Macaca fascicularis: one gene and its partner. The protein of the gene in region 1 binds, or shares a complex with, the protein of each later gene. Links are inferred from orthologs where the notes say so. Each region holds a gene or a part of one and is shown in the gene's direction. Other genes may lie near its edges. The genes, in order: MDC1 and PELI1.

What was found.
Region 2: the proteins of MDC1 (region 1) and PELI1 are in contact, whole or in part, in a crystal structure (PDB 9IF9), measured with the Homo sapiens proteins. The link is inferred for Macaca fascicularis from reciprocal best matches to the Homo sapiens genes MDC1 and PELI1. Residues at the interface, in NP_055456.2 of Homo sapiens: Glu761, Asp762, Ser763, Glu764, Thr765, Gln766, Pro767, Phe768, Asp769; in NP_065702.2 of Homo sapiens: Arg104, Ser105, Thr106, Glu107, Thr115, Asp116, Val130, Gln131, Ser132, Thr133, Ile134, Ser135, Arg136, Phe137, Thr185, Asn186, Thr221, Arg222, Ser223, Ala224, Cys247.

The regions. Positions count from the first base shown.
Region 1 is NC_088378.1:141,951,370-141,954,683, forward strand, and holds part of MDC1 (mediator of DNA damage checkpoint protein 1), read left to right. Parts: coding exon 1-1,946; intron 1,947-2,029; coding exon 2,030-2,149; intron 2,150-2,264; exon of another isoform or gene 2,265-2,280; coding exon 2,281-2,463; intron 2,464-2,688; coding exon 2,689-2,814; intron 2,815-2,901; coding exon 2,902-3,012; intron 3,013-3,314. UniProt on the Homo sapiens protein: Histone reader protein required for checkpoint-mediated cell cycle arrest in response to DNA damage within both the S phase and G2/M phases of the cell cycle.
Region 2 is NC_088387.1:57,778,019-57,782,365, forward strand, and holds the start of PELI1 (E3 ubiquitin-protein ligase pellino homolog 1), read left to right. Parts: upstream 1-1,362; 5' UTR 1,363-1,456; intron 1,457-4,347. UniProt on the Homo sapiens protein: E3 ubiquitin ligase catalyzing the covalent attachment of ubiquitin moieties onto substrate proteins. Involved in the TLR and IL-1 signaling pathways via interaction with the complex containing IRAK kinases and TRAF6.

The DNA.
Region 1 (3,314 bases):
CCCTTGAGCTCCACCCTTCCAACTCCACAGATCAACCTGTCACCCCCAAGCCCACATCTGAGGCCATTAGGAGCAGGACAAATAGGTCCTCTGTCAAGACCCCTGAACCAGTTGTCCCCACAGTCCCTGAGCTCCAGCCTTCCACCTCCACAGACCAGCCTGTCGCCTCTGAGCCCACATCTCAGGCTACTAGGGGAAGAAAAAATAGATCCTCTGTCAAGACCCCTGAAGCAGTTGTGCCCACAGCCCTTGAGCTCCACCCTTCCAACTCCACAGATCAACCTGTCACCCCCAAGCCCACATCTCGGACCACTAGGAGCAGGACAAATATGTCCTCTGTCAAGACCCCTGAATCAACTGTCCCTATAGCCCCTGAGCTCCCACCTTCCACCTCCACAGAGCAGCCTGTCATCACTGAGCCCACATATCAGCCTACTAGGGGAAGAAAAAATAGGTCCTCTGTCAAGACCCCTGAAACAGTTGTGGCCACAGCCCCTAAGCTCCAGTCTTCCACCTCCACAGACCAGCCTATCACTCCTGAGCCCACATCTCAGGCCACCAGGGGTAGGACAAATAGGTCCTCTGTCAAGAGCCCTGAAACAGTTCTCCGCACAGCCCCTGAGCTCCAGCCTTCCACCTCCACACACCAGCCAGTCACTGCCAAGCACACATCTCAGGCCACCAGGGGCAGGACAAATAGGTCCTCCGTCAAGACCCCTGAACCAGTTGTCTCCACAGCACCTGAGCTCCAGCCTTCCACCTCCACACACCAGCCTATTACCCCCGAGCCTACATCTCAGGCTACTAGGGGAAGAACAGATAGAACCTCTGTCAAGACTCCTAAAATAGTTGTGCCCACAGTCCCTGAGCTCCAGGCTTCCACCTCCACAGACCAGCCTGTCACCTCTGAGCCCACATCTCGGACCACTAGGGGAAGAAAAAATAGGTCTTCTGTCAAGACCCCTGAAACAGTTGTGCCCACAGCGCCTGAGCCCCGTCCTACCACCTCCACAGACCAGCCTGTCACCCCCAAGCCCACATCTCGGGCCACTAGGGGCAGGACAAATAGGTCATCTGTCAAGACCCCTGAATTAATTGTCCCTATAGCCCCTGAGTTTCACCCTTCCACCTCCAGAAGCCAGCTTGTCACCCCTGAGCCCACATCTCGGGCCACTAGGGGCAGGAAAAATAGGTCCTCTGTCAAGACCCCTGAACCAGCTGTCCCCACAGCCCCTGAGCTCCATCCTACCACCTCCACAGACCAGCCTGTCACCCCCAAGCCCACATCTAGGGCCACTAGGGGAAGGACAAATAGGTCCTCTGTCAAGACTCCTGAACCAGTTGAACCAGCAGCCTCTGATCTTGAGCCTTTTACCCCCACAGACCAGCCTGTCACCCCTGAGGCCATACCTCAGGGTAGTCAGAGCAAAACACTGAGGTCTTCCACAGTAAGTGCTATGCTAATTCCTACTACCCCTGAATTCCAATCTCCTGTCACCACAGACCAGCCCATTTCCCCTGAGCCTATTCCTCAAGCCAGTTGCATCAAGAGGCAGAGAGCCACTGGGAATCTTGGCTCCCTCACAGCTCCCATTGACCATAAGCCTTGCTCTGCACCCCTGGAACCTAAATCCCGGCCCTCAAGGAACCAAAGATGGGGAGCAGTGAGAGCAGATGAATCCCTTACAGCCATTCCTGAGCCTGCCTCTCCCCAGCTTCTTGATATACCAACTCATGCCTCCCAGATCCAAAAAGTGGAACCAGCAGGTAGATCTAGGTTCACCCCAGAGCTCCAGCCTAAGGCCTCTCAAAGCCGCAAGAGGTCTTTAGCTATCATGGATTCACCACCACATCAAAAACAGCCCCAAAGAGGGGAAGTCTCCCAGAAGACAGTGATTATCAAGGAAGAGGAAGAAGATACTGCAGAGAAGCCAGGGAAGGAAGAGGTGAGGAGAGGGCTAGGACCACAAAGCTGGGAAAAATGGCTTTGGGGCTCTGAAACTCCCACCAAGATTTTTCTCAATCTCAGGATGTCATGACTCCAAAACCAGGCAAGAGAAAGAGAGACCAGGCAGAGGAGGAGCCCAACAGAATACCGAACCGCAGCCTCCGACGGACCAAACTTAACCAAGAGTCAACAGCCCCCAAAGTAAGAGACAAGGGCATGAGACTTTGTGGGAGACAGAGATGAGGGGAGGATGCAAGGAGACCTGGAGGATTGTAGAGATGGGTGCTGATGGTGTGGGTTGCTGTGACCACCTCAGGTCAACCCTTCCACAGGTGCTCTTCACAGGAGTGGTGGATGCTCAGGGAGAGCGGGCCGTGCTGGCACTGGGGGGAAGTCTGGCTGGTTCAGCGGCAGAGGCTTCCCACCTGGTCACTGATCGCATCCGCCGGACAGTCAAGTTCCTGTGTGCCCTGGGGCGGGGAATCCCCATTCTCTCCCTGGACTGGCTGCATCAGGTGAGAGGCCAAGGGATGATGACAGACCAATATAGTGGCAAGACTGCTCACGTAGTACCCTAGAAAGTTGTGGAAGGGAAGAGGCGTTACAGGAAGACAGGGGCATTAGTGAGCCAGAAGCCTGAATGATTTAAAAGACATTTTGTGAGCTCTCTCTAAATGCTAGGCAGCAGAGCTGGGTGAGGGGCTGGGCTGAGCTTTGATGCTGACTGCTGCTGTCCTTAGTCCCGCAAGGCTGGTTGCTTCTTACCCCCGGATGAATATGTGGTGACCGACCCTGAGCAAGAGAAGAACTTTGGCTTTAGCCTTCAAGACGCACTGAGTCGGGCTCGGGAGCGAAGGCTGCTGGAGGTGAGAGGCTATCTCTTGACCTGTGCTTCAGCCCTCCCTCCAGTGCTTCCCAACCTACAATACCGTCTCCACCATTTTTTCTCTTAGGGCTATGAGATCTATGTGACCCCTGGAGTCCAGCCACCACCACCTCAGATGGGAGAGATCATTAGCTGCTGTGGAGGCACATACCTACCCAGCATGCCTCGGTCCTATAAGGTATGCTTAGGATGTTCTGGGTCTGGATGAGGTGGCAGTAGCAGTTAAAGAGGTGGCTGGAATGGCAAAGGTTGGAGGGGAAAAAAATGGAGGTACAGAAAAGAATATAGAGTAGTGAGAGGGTGGGGAAAGGCCTATGGTATAGAAAGGGATAGGAATGAGGGGACAGATCTGCTGATACACCCATATAACAATCACCGAGATTCAGCAGCTTAATTTAGATTATGCTACTTTTGGTCCATCTATCCCTTTTTTCCTTTGATTTTCTTTGCTGAAGTATTTTCTTTTTATTTTTCTTTATT
Region 2 (4,347 bases), on another chromosome or scaffold:
CACTTATGACTGGTGAGGCTAGGAGTTCGGGGTGGAGCGAAGTAGGAAGGACCGGCTAAGGGGTGGATCCCCAACAACACCAGAATACAAGACCGCCCTTGTTCAGCCAACATCTGCACTGAACACGTTCGCTAAGTGTGTCGGTGACCATGGTAACGGTGGGAGGGGGCGGCCCAAACCTCGCCCTCGAGCATGCTCAGTGCAGAGCGAGCCTGGTCGAGTGCTGGACAACAATGAATCCCTTTTTTCTTCAGCCAGAGAACTACAATTCCCAAGAGCGTTCTCGGCGCGACGACACCGCCTTCCGCTGTGGCCCTGCCTCGTCCCCTCCCTCAGGCCCCGCCCTCCGGTTAGACCCCTCCCCTCCCTGGGAGTGTATGTCAGTGAACCAGAGGCGGTGTGAGGTGGAGGGACCGTCGGGGGGCGCCGCCGCCGCCTCCACCAGCAGCAGCAGTAGCAGCAGCAGCGCCAGCCCCGCGGCGCGGTCGAATTGGTCCCCAGCCCTCCGGGAGTGCACCACGAAGCAGCCCCAACGCCTCTCCCTGCTTCCGCGGCTCCTCAGCGCTCGACTTCGTGGTCAACTTCCCCGCGCTGGGCTCGGCTGGCTGGCGCGGAGGGCAGCGGCGGAACGGCGGGCTGTCTGCTCGTGCTCCCCGCGCACAACACTTCACCCTCTCGCCTCGGGTCTCAGGGGCCGCGCTGGGATCCCGGCCACCAGCAATTGTCCGGTAAGTGTGGCCGCGGGGCGCCGCTGGATGGATGGCGGCGAGGCCGCCGAGGGGCGCGGGGAGGGCGGGCGCGCAACTTCCTCGGCGGCTTCTCCGGCGGCCAGCCAGCCAGCTCTCCCCGCCCGCTGCGCGCCCCCGCGGCGGCGGGGAGCGGAGTTTGCGGCGCCTCCATCCCGCGCCCTGGCAGGAGGAAGCGCCTTTGTCAGGAACCGGCCCTGTGCGGCCTCCCCCTCCGCCCGGGAGCCGGGCGCGCGGCGGCCAACTCCGAGCCCCGCGCCTGGCTGGCCGCGCGCTCAGGCTGCGAGGGGGGTGCTCTGCGGGTGGCGGGTAGGAGAGGGAAATGGGAGAAACAAAAGGGGCGGTGGGTTTCCCTTTTGTTTGTGCGGATCTGATAACTTCTTTTCCTCCCTTACATAACGCAGACTTCCAAGTTAGTCATTCTTTTTATTGTTATGATTGTTGTCATCATCTCCGCGCGTCTTTCACATTTCCTTTCATCTTCGGATCTCAGAGCATTTTAAACACGCTAATTAATTTCACCCCTGGGTCCCCTAGGAAACAATACGCCCGTTTCCCTAAGTGGGTAAACTGAGGTCGTGAAAAGCTCTCTGATGGATACGCTTGATCTTTTACCGCGCCTGGTATCTGAGGATATGAAAGAGTTTATGAGGAAGAACCCGTTCTCAAATGCCCCGTGGAAAAGTTAAAGATGCTCATTTTACTTACAGGTTAGCTGAAGTCCGAAAGATGTCTAGGTAATTGTTACGTAGTTCAAACCATAATTCTTCTTACATAGTGTTTGAATCTTAAAACCTTTAAAGAGTTACTGAGAAATGCTTCGAGTAGGGAAATTAATGTAAATCATAAAGTCACGTCACCATCTACTTTTATTTTTGTACGTGTAGGTCTCTTAGAGGCAAGAGAGCAAGAATGGGACAGAGGGCATAGGTTTTTTAAAAATGTCCATTTAACAGATTTTAATCACTACACAGAAGGAAATGTGCCTTGGTTTTAACAGCACCAACAATATTCCTGTCGTTTAGTCATCAAACAGTATATCAACAAATATTATTGAGAACTTTATTCGTAAGATGCTGGTTGTGCTAAAAACTGAAGCTTTATACTTTATAGATAAGAAAAGGTCATCTGTTTCGGTTCACAGGCTCTACTTTTTCTTACTCTGCAAAATGTTACTTTGTTTTCTTTGCACATAATCTTTTGTTTCAGAAATCGCATTGTCCTTTACTGTGTTGAATATGTATTACTCTCACACTTAAGGAGAAATGAATTTTTTATTCAGTTTGCTTAATAGGGTGAATTTAAAATTTTTTAGTTGTGGAAAAGGTTCACTTTGTTCAGTTCTGTTTCAGTTTACGATGCATCTTCTTTATAGCCAACAGAAAATATTTTCTGAGTGATCAGATTTACATGTCTCAAAACATTGTTCTTACTGTACAAATACAGCATATGAATTCCTTTATTTATATCAACAACCTGTTCTGGATAAAAATCTTTAACTCTGAGGACCTTATTTATTTTGTGAGTTTTTATTTCTTTGGTACCAAACTGGAAAGTACCAAAAATTTAAATCAAGCATCACTTCTACTAGCTCTTTCCTCAGGTAAATAATGATCAGAACTGTAGTAACAGTGAATAGTTTCACTTACTCTAAATTCTCTTACATTTAATTTTGTATTGTGTGGTTGTCCTTACATTTTAGATTTTGGTGGTTGCATCAGAAAATGAAAGTGAGATGTTCGTTATTTTATTTTATTTTTCCAGAGCCTTCTAACCTGTTCCCTTTCTATAGTATGTTAAAAGAGATCTTGAGTTTAACATAAATAATTGGAAAGTAGAACAATTATATGTATGGAAAGTTGCATGTAGTGAAGTGGTTATAATGTCTCATCTAGTGAATTTACAGGTTTTAAAGAGGAAACTATCACCTAGCTTTTTATTGGCATGGTAGAAGTGCTGTAATGTAGTAGTAGTGGTATTTATTTACTTCTAAAAAGCAAGCTGGAAATTTGCCTCAGTGGAGTTTGTAGGGGGAGAGAATCCATCCTTTCCTTAAGATTGACATTTAAATGTTCTTGCAGTTGGTTATGTTGAACTTTTTCTGTGGTATTTTCAAGCCAGATTTACCGGGGACATTTGTACTTTAAGGAAGCTACTAACACTGTCTTGGCTCAGTCACTGGAGTCCGCAGGCAGAAGTTAGTGTTGACTGGCGAAGTCTGGCTTTGCAGGTTTTATAATTTCTTTGAGACCCCTTAAAGGAAATGACTGAAAAGTACGGGGTAGGAAGCTAGTCTAGTACTGCCAAATGCCATTGAGGCAAGTTTCAAAGAGGAAGCCAAAGGATGTTTCCGTTTGATTTAGCTTCAGACTCTTCTGGGTTGTCAGAATGTCACTTTTGTATTTTAAGAGTTCTATCATTTCAGAATATGATTCGTTATGGTTTTCTAGTAGGTCAGGTGATAACGACTATAGATAGTCATTATGCTTCGTGGACAACTAATATTTTTAGGCAGAAGCTTCTACAGCTGATAAAGATTTTAAGCCAAAGACTTAGAATTGAAAACTAACATATACGTGTACATTTTACCATAATACACCAATGTAGACCTATCCTAGTATTTATTAGATTAGAAAGGCTTTTATGGATGATTTTATTATACAAATATATTTAACTGTATATATTAAAATTTCATAATGACTAATATATGATGGCACTGAGGTGGCTTTAGGTGCTCCTTTTGGGGGAAAAAAGTCCTGTTATTCTAAAAGTTACATTTATGTCTTTGAGGAGAGTAAAGCAGATTTAAAAGCCAGTGGAAAAAGGAAGAAAATCAACAAAGTGAAGAAAACCTGATGAAGATGTTTTTAAATAATACAATATAAAGTTTCCTGGCAGCATTCATATATAAGGGACAAAATTCTAGTTGAAGTCTATAAACAGTGAATTCCACTTAGCACTTTCTGTTTATAGATTTCTAGCCATCTTTTCCAGATTCCCTCTGAATATATTACACAAGCAAAGTAAATAGAAGTCATTCTTTCAAGGGATTTGGGTTCTTGGAGTTTTTTTTACACTTGTGGTAGTGGGGGAGGGGAGTGCTTATTATATTTTCTTAGTTTAAGTGTGACCTGTGCCATAGAATATTCCCCTAGACTAATGTGTGGGAACCTCAAGACAAGAAATATTGGTCATTGAAATATCTGGATATGATTTCAAGTTCTGCCACTAGCTTTTTTTTTTTTTTTTTTCCAAATTGTCTTGAATAGATCACTTCTATTTTTCCTTCAAAGGTTGAAAATAACTGCCTAACATACTATGTTTAGTAGGTCCTAAATACTTTTTGTTGTTTAATGAATTTACAGGTAATAAAGAGAAAGCACAGTGTTTCTTGAATGGATGTCAGGGAATTTCTAATTTTTTTCTTTTTTGATAGAAAAAAGTAATCAAAACATAAACATCTGATTGGAGTCTTTCAATTAGCATAGTTACCTTCAGAAATAAGCCTAGAGAAAGAGAGCTTCATCTGGTAGTTTAACAGAAATGAATTGTAAATGACTCTATAAAGAATTGACAATTTTTTCAGAATGTTGTACCAGAT